3 linked regions of the Xenopus tropicalis genome follow. Each later gene encodes a partner of the first gene's protein in a complex. Links are inferred from orthologs where the notes say so. Each region holds a gene or a part of one and is shown in the gene's direction. Other genes may lie near its edges.

Evidence for each region.
Region 2: drc7 (region 1) and ccdc153 share a complex: the UniProt entries of both Homo sapiens proteins name them as parts of the nexin-dynein regulatory complex. The link is inferred for Xenopus tropicalis from reciprocal best matches to the Homo sapiens genes DRC7 and DRC12.
Region 3: drc7 (region 1) and fbxl13 share a complex: the UniProt entries of both Homo sapiens proteins name them as parts of the nexin-dynein regulatory complex. The link is inferred for Xenopus tropicalis from reciprocal best matches to the Homo sapiens genes DRC7 and FBXL13.

What each region holds. Positions count from the first base shown.
Region 1 is NC_030680.2:76,083,238-76,086,895, reverse strand, and holds part of drc7 (dynein regulatory complex subunit 7), read left to right. Parts: intron 1-153; coding exon 154-264; intron 265-3,382; coding exon 3,383-3,577; intron 3,578-3,658. UniProt on the Homo sapiens protein: Component of the nexin-dynein regulatory complex (N-DRC) a key regulator of ciliary/flagellar motility which maintains the alignment and integrity of the distal axoneme and regulates microtubule sliding in motile axonemes.
Region 2 is NC_030683.2:80,326,859-80,330,562, forward strand, and holds the start of ccdc153 (coiled-coil domain-containing protein 153), read left to right. Parts: upstream 1-835; 5' UTR 836-1,024; intron 1,025-1,074; exon of another isoform or gene 1,075-1,250; intron 1,251-3,704. UniProt on the Homo sapiens protein: Component of the nexin-dynein regulatory complex (N-DRC), a key regulator of ciliary/flagellar motility which maintains the alignment and integrity of the distal axoneme and regulates microtubule sliding in motile axonemes.
Region 3 is NC_030679.2:78,014,374-78,018,031, forward strand, and holds part of fbxl13 (dynein regulatory complex subunit 6), read left to right. Parts: intron 1-726; coding exon 727-853; intron 854-3,658. UniProt on the Homo sapiens protein: Substrate-recognition component of the SCF (SKP1-CUL1-F-box protein)-type E3 ubiquitin ligase complex.

The sequences.
Region 1 (3,658 bases):
TTGAAACATTAATTATTTTGCTTTAGGTGGAAAACAAAGTATTGGAGTTGCCATAACCAATATTTATTTAATATAAAAAGTGTACTTTGATGATAATGTTAAACAAAATCATATCTTTATGATATATATGACTTTGTACTCCATTATTGCCAGGTACGTGAGATACTGGCTACCCGAGCCCAGGAGGAGGCAGACCCTCAGCTTACAATATCAATCTATGACACAGAAAGAAATGAGAAAAGCAAGGAAAAAAGAGAAGCCATGGTGAGAATGTGCGGTCTCAACAAAACAGTTTTGCTAGCTTAAACAAAACAAGAGGTGGGCCTGAAAGAAACTTCTAAGTATATAATAGAAATATTAAAGTTACAGTCTTGCTGAGCTTTATATAATTTGAAGCTATGTATGCTGCAACATTGTAGGGGTTAATAAGGAGAAAGAGATTATGTGATTTCAGATGAAATGCCATCTTCCTAATGCAATTGTTCCCCAAAAAGCCTGCCAGCACCAACATTCAGTTTTATATTACAAATTAGAGTTAGGGAATTGTCTCAGATAGAGTTGTGGTTCAGGTGAATCTTGTTAAAAACTAACAAGACACATTATACAAGGTAGGAACTACACTTGCTTTACAGCAATAATAACTGGTTTCAGGAGTTTTAGTGGGTGTCTTGGTGCCACTCAATGTGTGTCTCAGCACATGTATGCATTCTTTAAATTCCATTCCAGGAAGTGTTTGGTCCTCATTTTGGAATCCGAGTTACAAAATATTTTGTTTACACTAAAAGAGCAAATAAAAGCAATTTTAGAGCTTGGTCCAGTTTTATCCAGGTCACTTTTTTGGATGTTCTCATTCTTCCTTTCAGCTGGTATTATAACAATGGAATAAAGGAAAGCTGATGTGATTCCAGTATTTAAAAAAGTATTATGATTTCCTTGACTTGAAAGTTTGTTTAGAGATCATTTTTTGGATAATAGCATCATAAGTAATCATTTGCATGGTTTTATAAAGGGCAGATCATGTCAAACACACATACTTGTTTTGTATGATTTACTAAGGGAACTTAGATAGCAGGGTTGTAGCATGTCTGATCTACTTGGGTTTTGTCAAAGCTTTTGATACAGTCACAATCTCTTACTAGGTTTTTTGGGTCTACTTTAATTATACTTCATTAATAACTTGGGTAGTGCATTGTAAGAGCTAAATATGAGGATATGAACAAACTGGCATCTTTGGCAGATGAGATTCAGTGTTGATAAATGTAAGGTTATGCACCTATAAATCTAAAATATACTTTGTATACCCTTAACAGAGAACTAAAGTTTAACTAAAAAAGTAGGCTAGAAATTTTGTACATTATGTTTGGTTCTGAACCTGCCCAAGGCAACCACAGCCCTTTAGCAGGAAAGATCTATGTCTGCTGATTCTCTGCACATGCTCTGTGCGGCTGTCAGTTACTGAGCTTAGGGATATACTGTATATATAGAATATAAATGTCACAATATAAGGCTGATTAGTAATTAATTCAGATATTTATTACATGGCAGCTTAGAAACCAGTGCAACTAGCATCAGAATGTAATAATCAGCCCTGTAGCATCAGCTTATATGACAGACAACCCCTAAGCTTAGCTTCTCAAAAGCTGCTCAGAGAACACAGAGCATGTGAGTGTCGCAGACACTTTCCAAGATGGGGAGCTCCTGTGAAACTGAAACTTTAGGCTGGTGCAACAAGTACAGTATATAAAATGTGGTATTTGTAGCCATATTCATTTTTAGGGTTTTGTGCATTGTAGTTTTGCTCTCCAGTGCTCAGAAAGATATAGATATAGAGACAGTTCAAAGAAGGGCAGCTAAAGTTCTAAAGGATATGAAAGGTCTCAGTTATAAAAAAAAGGCTACCCAAGTTGGGATGTTTACATTGGAGAAGAGGTGCTTAAGCAGGGACTATGTATAAATACAATAAACTCATTTATGCTTAATTAATCAATTCATGCTTTCAGAGGAAGTGTCTCAAGATAAGGGAGGTTTCGTAAAAGGTTTCTAACATTCAGAGCTGTTAATTTGTAGAATTCTCTATCCTTTGAGTGACTGTAGAAAGAACATCAGAGCAATACTAAAGAAGGGGCATGCCCCAGAAACGTTGTGTTACTTGATTAAACACAAGGGTCTAGTCCCCCATTTGCATTGCCTTAAATGCCAGTACCTATTTTGTTTTTCTTGGGTAGGGGAGTGCCGTCTCCCCAGGGGCTGTGCACCAGACATCATTAGTAACTTTAGAGATCCGAGTGCGCACATGAAAATTACAATAATAAAGAATGCCCATAAACACCTAGGACAAAGACCAGGACTTATGGAACAATGTGCTTTGGACAGACTATGCAAAAATTGAGCTTTAATAGCACAAACAAGCAGGAACTGAATATGCAATAAAATCCCTTGCAGTATCAAAATTACTGGCACAACAGTATTTTGTTTATTCAGTGCAAACCATGTGTAAATATTAAAATTTTGTATACACATGGTTTGCCCTAAATAAACTTACAGGTTTATCCTGCTGAAACAGCCCTGTTGTGCTAGCATTTTTGCAATTTTAATACTACTTTGGAATGTGTTGAACTATTACTGAGCACCAGGTGAAATATCAGTGGAAAGGCCAGGGTGTGCTGGTGATGGTTCATAAAATGAAAAAAAAAATCAAGGTTAAAAAAACTGCATATATCTGTACACTTGTCAAATTGTGGAATGTGTGTGTGTACTGTAAGTGTGAAAAAGCCCACCAAAATGTATGTGTTTGCTAGTGTAAGAGTCTATTTAGTGTAGAAAGCACGTGTGACTTAAAGTCAGACACAATCTAAAGGAGGTCTGCCATGTGGCCCAAGCAGGCATGGGGGGTGAGGGGTTCCAGGATGAAGACAACAGAAGATAAATGATCGCATTGCATTTCATTAATGCTACTTGCACTGTAGACCTTTGCAGGCTAATTCATTCCTAACATTCCAGCATATCAGTCCATATATCAAAGTCAGTCTCCTTATGTATTCCTTATACTGCAAGCTTGCAACTTTATTAAAGAACTGGATACTCTGTGGTGCAGAAAATTAGGAAATTACACATAACCTAACTGCTTAGGGAATAAGCAGTATATTTAAAAATGTTATGCAAAATGCATTTTAAGATACCTTGTAGTAGCAGCACATATTTGGCCCATATTGAATATGAGTCCAAAACCCTTTGTATTAATATCTTTGTGTGCTGTTATCACGTAGTTCCATTAATGTCAAATATGCACTAGATAAATCTGTGGAACATACTGTATACATAACCCATGTTGGGTCTAGTAGTTAGGACTGTGGCTGATCATATGTTTATTGTTCATCCCCAGGAGAGAGCTATACAAGAAGAACGTCAGCGCCGTGCTGTGCAGGAACTTGACTACTTGGCTCCATTCCTTGCTCAGTTGGGAGATCCTGAGAAGCTGACACTCTGGCAAGCACAAAAAGTGAAAGAAGATTGCCTGAGTGATATGAAACAAAGGTTGATAGAAAAGGCAAACCTGATCCAGGCCCGCTTTGAGAAGGTACCTGTAAAGTACTTAGTCATTACTGATCTACTACCCTAAAAGCTTCTGCTATATCCTCTCTAAACTAATCTTGTACAG
Region 2 (3,704 bases), on another chromosome or scaffold:
CCGAATGGGAAAAAATCGAATTGGAAATGAAAATCTTGCAACTTTTTCATCGCCATCGCGTTTTTTTTTCGTATTTTGCGTGATTTTTTCGTCGCCGTCACGGCTATCATATTTTGTGCGACTTTTTAGTCGCCATCGCGGTTTTTTTGTATTGAGCAATACGTATTGAACCAATCCGATTTTTTCGCGACGGCGACGAAATAGTCACGACAATTTGTGAAAAAGTTGTGACGGCGACGAAAAAGTCTTGACAATTCGCAGAAAATACCGATCATTACGGAAAAACGCATTCGGACGTTCGTGGATTAGTAAATGTGCCCCTAAGTGTGGTTTAGCAGAGGCAATTCTCAGTATTGTCTTTGGCAGGGTATTTTCTGGGGTTTAGTAGCCGTCACAAGTAGCTGCTACTAAATAGCTCCACGTGTCTTTACCCAGAGAGGATCTAAACCCAAAAACATTTAGCATAATTTAAGAAGATTTAATTTAAAGCAATTTTACATTATACATTACATTTCAAATGTTCAGCGGTCTTAGGGCTCTGGCACATGGGGAGATTAGTCGCCCTAATCTCCCCGTGTGCCAGAACCCTTAAAGTTATTTGTAAATGTCATTGCTACTGAAAATGATATTTCTACTATAAATACCTTATACACACATAATGGAAAGCTGGGAGTGTAGGATAGCATAGAGATGTTTTTTATTTCATTATACAAAAAACATTTTACGGGTATAGATTACCTTTAAGTTCAGACTCTGAATCTTTAATATGTTTTGTTTTGTTCTTTTTATTAAGGTGATTTGCATTAACAAATTTCTTGTTTTTGTCTCTTCTCAGAGATTTACCGGTACCTTGTTGTTATACATCTTTTGTTACCATTACAGAAACCTAGCAACCTTTTGTATACAATTCTCTCTGAATCGGCTGGGCAAGGTTTGTGGGCAGGATCTTAAAGTGTCTTCCTGCTGGGTAAGCATTTCTCAGTGAATATCACTTTGTTGTTCTGCTGAACAGGATTCATTGCAGGTAAGGGCCACTTGCTGATATTTGCTGTTTAAAATACAGTATGTTATAGAGTTGCGTATTTGGAAAGGCAGCATGTGGAAAAGGAAGATGGCATCGTTATCATGGGCAGCCCCTGCAGTTGCTATGTCTCCACTATCCTCAGGCTCTTCAGTGTTGCTCTAGGCCTGACTGGATACCTGCATCTAATGAGAGACAGAATCAGAAAATAATCAGTTTGCAACGAAAGGTAATCAGATATAGGATATCTTATGATAAGCATACAGAGCAGGGTTGAATGGCTCCTAACTATGCAATGCTGCAAAACTACTTTGCAATGGATTGAAATGTAAGAGGTCATTTACAACCTTAAGTTCAGCGTGCAGTTTTTGATGCAAATCACCATGTTTTTTAATTCAAACTTAATTGTGGGCACACAGCAACTTGCACATGCTGTGTCAAAACAAACAGAATTGAGCAGTGCAGCTAACATTTTTTAAGAGTTAGGATTGCATCACTTCCGAGAGTCAGCATTAAAATTACGTTAGTGTTTAGTTCTTTTGTCACAATTCTATTGCACTTTGGTTCATCACAATAAGCAGGATGAGGAATGACACAGTGGTGCTTGGCGCAACTATACAGAAGTTGAGGAGGTGTTACTTTTAGGACTTCTTTACATGTTACATCAACACACAAAACTAATTTCTAGGGATGCACCAAATCCAGGATTCAGTTAGGGATTCAGCCAAGATTCGGCCAAATCCACACTCCTGGCTGAACCGAATCCAAATGTTTTCTAATATAAACCTGCCGTGGTAAATCACAAGCTGAAGAGCATGCTGTTCTTTGAGTGCCAACTATTATACTGGCATATACATTTTTGTTCCTAGAGCATTGCACTTTTGTTCATAAATGAGCACTAGATTGGTGTCCAAACTATTTTTATTAATACAATGCAACATTTTTCACTGTCTGATTTTTACTATAATATTGCTTAACACACACACACACATATATATAGTGAATAATGTACCCTCTTTTTTAAAATATAAGGATAGCCATTCCACAGAGGAGTTTCGTGACCATGAGTTCTTATATCCTCTTATTTTACAACAGTGGATACATTTAGTTATTATAAATACACAAGTTTCAGTGAGCCATGTGTCAGAAATTACATCATTAAGCATCGTTATAACTGATGCCATCACTAAGCATAATTTTTAAGGATATAATTATATGATATTCATGGCACTTCTGTGTTATACATATAGGGGCTGATTTACTAAGACACGATTTCGAATCCAAATTGGAAAAATTCCGATTGGAAATGAACATTTTTTTTGCGACTTTTTCGGTAATTTTGTGATTTTTTCGTATTTTTTTCGATTTTTTCAGCGTCTTTACGATTTTTGCGTAAAAACGCGAGTTTTTCGTAGCCATTACGAAAGTTGCGCAAAGTCGCGCCTTTTTCGTAGCGTTAAAACTTAAAAGGCGCGACGTTTCGCGCAAGTTTTAACGCTACGAAAAAATCGCGACTTTGTGCAACTTTCGTAATGGCTAAGAAAAACTCGCGTTTTTACGAAAAAATCGTAAAATACGAAAAAATCGCAAAATTACCGATCATTACGAAAAAAACGCAATCGGACGCATTCGGCCCGTTCGTGGGTTAGTAAATGTGCCCCATAGTATATATAAACACAAACATATATATATATAGTGTACTTATGTCTTGCACAAAAAAATCAATTATAATTATTATAGTCCAGTGAAATTCTTTGCATTTAAGTATTGTTGTGCTGTAGGGTTGCCACCAGCCCTGTATTTCAAGGATTCAGATTCAGTTAAAAACCGGGTACAAATCCTCTAAACTGCATCCAGTGGACACAAGTTTCCATGGGTCCTTTTGCCATAAGGCAAGGTGAGAAGTCTCTCCTTTTCCAGGGGTGGCAAAAAATACTCCTGTAATTTTACATGGAGAATTCCCAATAGCTTTCTCCATTTACATGCAACTGCAATCTCCGCTGACCAATACCCAGTCTGAGAGAAGAAAATGTATGTACAGGTGATGGAAACATAAGGGGTTGGAAGCATCAGATCTGCCTTCTTGGACAGCAAAGAGCCTTGATGTGCACCCGCAGATTTCCCAGTGTGTGGAGCTCAAGGCAATATTCTCCAATATTCTGTGTGATCTGTTGTACTAATTTACTGGACAGTTTGTAAACATTAATCTAGTCATCTAAATTATAAATGATTTAGCAATAATATGGAACAAGTAGCACATCTGTCATCATCTTGAATTATATTTAGTACCATGGCCTTAAGCTATTTCAGTTAATTTTGTTAAGGTGGTCATACATGTTAAGATTTGTTTGCTATTTATATAGTCTTCATTCATAGGTGTATAGTTATGTTAGGTGGGGTCCTTCCCTACTAGTCTCACTAGTGTTCCTGTGCTAAGGGTAAGAGAACATGGTTTTACAATAAAATAAGGCAGTGAAGAACTCACATATAATGAGGGGCCTTAGTGTGACAAGTAAACTTAAATATTTTGGGGGATGTGTGGTGCTAATTTTTCAATATTAATTTAATATTTTACATAGGCCATAATTTGTGCATTGGCAATTATTAGTATGTATTAGTTTGCAGGATTGAAATTCCACATGAACCTTTCAAGGGGCACATGGTAGTTTTTTTCTCCAAAATT
Region 3 (3,658 bases), on another chromosome or scaffold:
TCGGCTCCAGATCTTAATGAGTTGGAATGAATGCATGGATGTGCAACTAAACTGGCAAACGCTGCTGCCTGACTCTAAATGCTGCTGCCAGACTTCATCTATCTCACTGTTCCACATCTGTCACTCACTGATGCATATCTTTTTGCTGCCTCCCAATCTCCTCTAGAATCGAATACAAATTACTAACACTTACATATAAGGCCCTTACTATTGATGCTCCTCCCTATATCTTAGCTCTAATACCACAATACACTCCTTCACGCAACTTTCTGCCTCTGACCTTCGCCTCTCTTCTCCTCTCATCCCATTCCCAACTGCAAGACTTCTTCCGGGCTTCTGCCTGTCTCTATGCCTTGTCCCATCAGACTCTCCCCTTCCTTCCAAACGTTTCCTAAAGACCCATAATTATATTCAAGGTATCTAAACTGATCTGAGATTTATATATGTATCATAAATCATCAATCAGTATTCCTTATGCTAAACCTTAGCTACATGAATAATGATTAATATATACAGGGGTATTTTACGTTTTTATAGCTTAAGCACCCAGAGTGTACATATAACAGTGAATCTTGTTTACATCAGCTTACATTCTGGCTGTTGTTGTGAAAGTTACTATGTTGTCAGTTACTATACTGCAGTCGTATTTATAGAGTTCCTTTATTGATTATATTTTTTACTGGATTCAGATTTTAAATGTTTTCTGTATTCCTATTTTTATTTTAGGTGTCATAATTTAACCTACCTAAGTCTTCGCTACTGTGAAAATTTGACAGATTCTGGCTTTGAGCTACTAGGAAACATGGCCTCACTTATTTCCATAGATCTGTCTGGGACAAATATTACAGACCAGGTATGTTAGCACAAATATTTTCTTTCCTTATTTTTCCATTAATATCCCAAGATATATGGAAAATGTTGGTACAGCAGAACCTACTGCTTAACATGATAATGAACATACATATTATGAATACAAGGTGAACGTGATGGACGTATGTCTTTTTTCAACCCAACTTACTATGTTACTATGTAACTACTCCTAAAACACCTTTTTATTATTCTTATACCCCCTTATGTAATAAAAGGCAATAAGTTTGCCCAGGTGCAGTAACTCATAGCAACCAATAAGATGTTTGCTTTAACAAACAACAGATGACCAGTAAATGCTTCCTGCTGATTGGTTGCTATGGGTTATTGCTCCCTGACAAACTTTGTGCCTTTTCTTACATAAACCCTTTGGTATGCATTTTACCTTCAGGTTTAGTTTAGATTACAAGTTGATAAATGTTATCTCTAATGCTAATAGCATATCAGTTGCTTATTTCTGATGGCAAAAAAAGCCAAATCCTCTTATGCTGCCTTCCACTCCTGATAAGGAGGCAGCAGATTACATAGTTACATAGTTACATAGTTACATAGGGTTGAAAAAAGACCAGTGTCCATCAAGTTCAACCCATCCAAGTAAACCCAGCACACCCAACCCACACCTACCAATCTATACACTCACATACATAAACTATAAATACAACCACTAGTACTAACTGTAGATATTAGTATCACAATAGCCTTGGATATTCTGATTGATCAAGAACTCATCCAGGCCCCTCTTAAAGGCATTAACAGAATCTGCCATTACCACATCACTAGGAAGGGCATTCCATAACCTCACTGCCCTCACCGTGAAAAACCACCTACGCTGCTTCAAATGGAAGCTCCTTTCCTCTAATCTAAAGGGGTGACCTCTGGTGCGTTGATTGTTTTTATGGGAAAAAAGAACATCCCCCAACTGCCTATAATCCCCTCTAATGTACTTGTACAGAGTAATCATGTCCCCTCGCAAGCGCCTCTTTTCCAGAGAAAACAACCCCAACCTCGACAGTCTAACCTCATAGTTTAAATCTTCCATCCCCTTAACCAGTTTAGTTGCACGTCTTTGCACTCTCTCCAGCTCATTAATATCCTTCTTAAGGACTGGAGCCCAAAACTGCACCGCATACTCAAGGTGAGGCCTTACCAGGGACCTATAAAGGGGCAAAATTATGTTCTCATCCCTTGAGTCAATGCCCTTTTTTATACAAGACAGCACTTTATTTGCTTTAGTAGCCACAGAATGACACTGCCTGGCATTAGACAACTTGTTATCAACAAAAACCCCTAGATCCTTCTCCATTAAGGAAACCCCCAACACACTACCATTCAGTAGATAGTTTGCGTTTATATTATTTCTACCAAAGTGCATAACTTTGCACTTATCAACATTGAACCTCATTTTCCAGTTTGCTGCCCAGTTATCTAATTTTGTCAAATCGCTCTGCAAAGCGGCAGTATCCTGCATGGAACTTATAGTTTTGCACAATTTAGTGTCATCAGCAAAAATAGAAACAGTACTCTCTATGCCCACCATAGGTCATTAATAAACAAGTTAAAAAGCAGATTGCTGAATTTATGAGACGTTTTAGCTCATTAAACAGAAAGAACAAAACTACACAATTCCTGGTCAAACAAGGCTTTCTTGCCGTAATTATAAATGAAACATCAGTAGATGGCAGGCAAACCTGTATGAGCTAGTGCTTCAAACTGCAGCATATTCTAGACACAGTATAAATACAAGTTTTTCATTAAAGGAATACTGTCATGGGAAAACATTTTTCTTTTAAAACGCATCAGTTAAAGGACAAGGAATGGCTAAGTCACTTGGGGGTGCCAAAATGTTAGGCACCCCCAAGTGACTTAAATCGCTTACCTTGTACCCCGAGATGGTGCCCCTGTTAGGAGAAAACAGCACCAGCCTGGGGTACCTGTAGCACAGCTCTTCCTCCTTCCGCCTTCTCTTTTGGAAGGACTAAGGAAAGGCGCATGTGCAGTAGAGTGAAAAGCCGACTTCTCTGTTAAAGTTCAGCTTTTCACTCTATTGCGCGTGCGTTAGAAGACGGAAGGAGGAAGCGCTGCAGCTACCCCCGGGCTGGTGCTGTTCTCTCCGAACAAGGGCACCAGCCCAGGGTACAAGGTAAGCGGTTTAAGTCAATTGGGGGTGCCTAACATTTTGGCACCCCCAAGTGACTTTGTTTTTCCTTCTCCTTTAACAGAGCTTCTTCAGAAGAATCCTGCATTGAATCAGTTTTTAAAAGCACAAACAGATTTTTTTTATATTTAAGTTTTAAATTTCACATGGGGCTAGTCATGTTTTTCATTTCCCAGGGTGCCACAGCCATGTGACATGTGTTCTGATAATTTTCAGTCACACTTTACTGCTGTGCTGCAAGTTGGAGTGATATCACTCCCCCCCCTTTCCTTTTCCCAGCAGGTGATGATCAGAAGGTAGCAAGATAGCAGCTACCGATTGTTCTGCTGATCAGCTGCTGGGGGGAAGATAGGGGGTGTAATATCACTCCAATTTTGCAGCACAGCAGTAAAGAAGATTATCAGAGCACAAGTAAAAAATCCAAGTCAGCTACTTGTTTGGATTAAGTTTTACTGCTGCCAAAGCCCCATAAGGGCTCTGGCACACGGGGAGATTAGTCGCCCGCGACAAAACTCCCTGTTCGCGGGCGACTAATCTCCCTGAGTTGCCTTCCCCTGCCATCCCACCGGCGACAATGTAAGTTGCACGCGGCGGCGCGATTTCGCACAAATCGCCGAGAAAGCCTCGCGAGTCTTT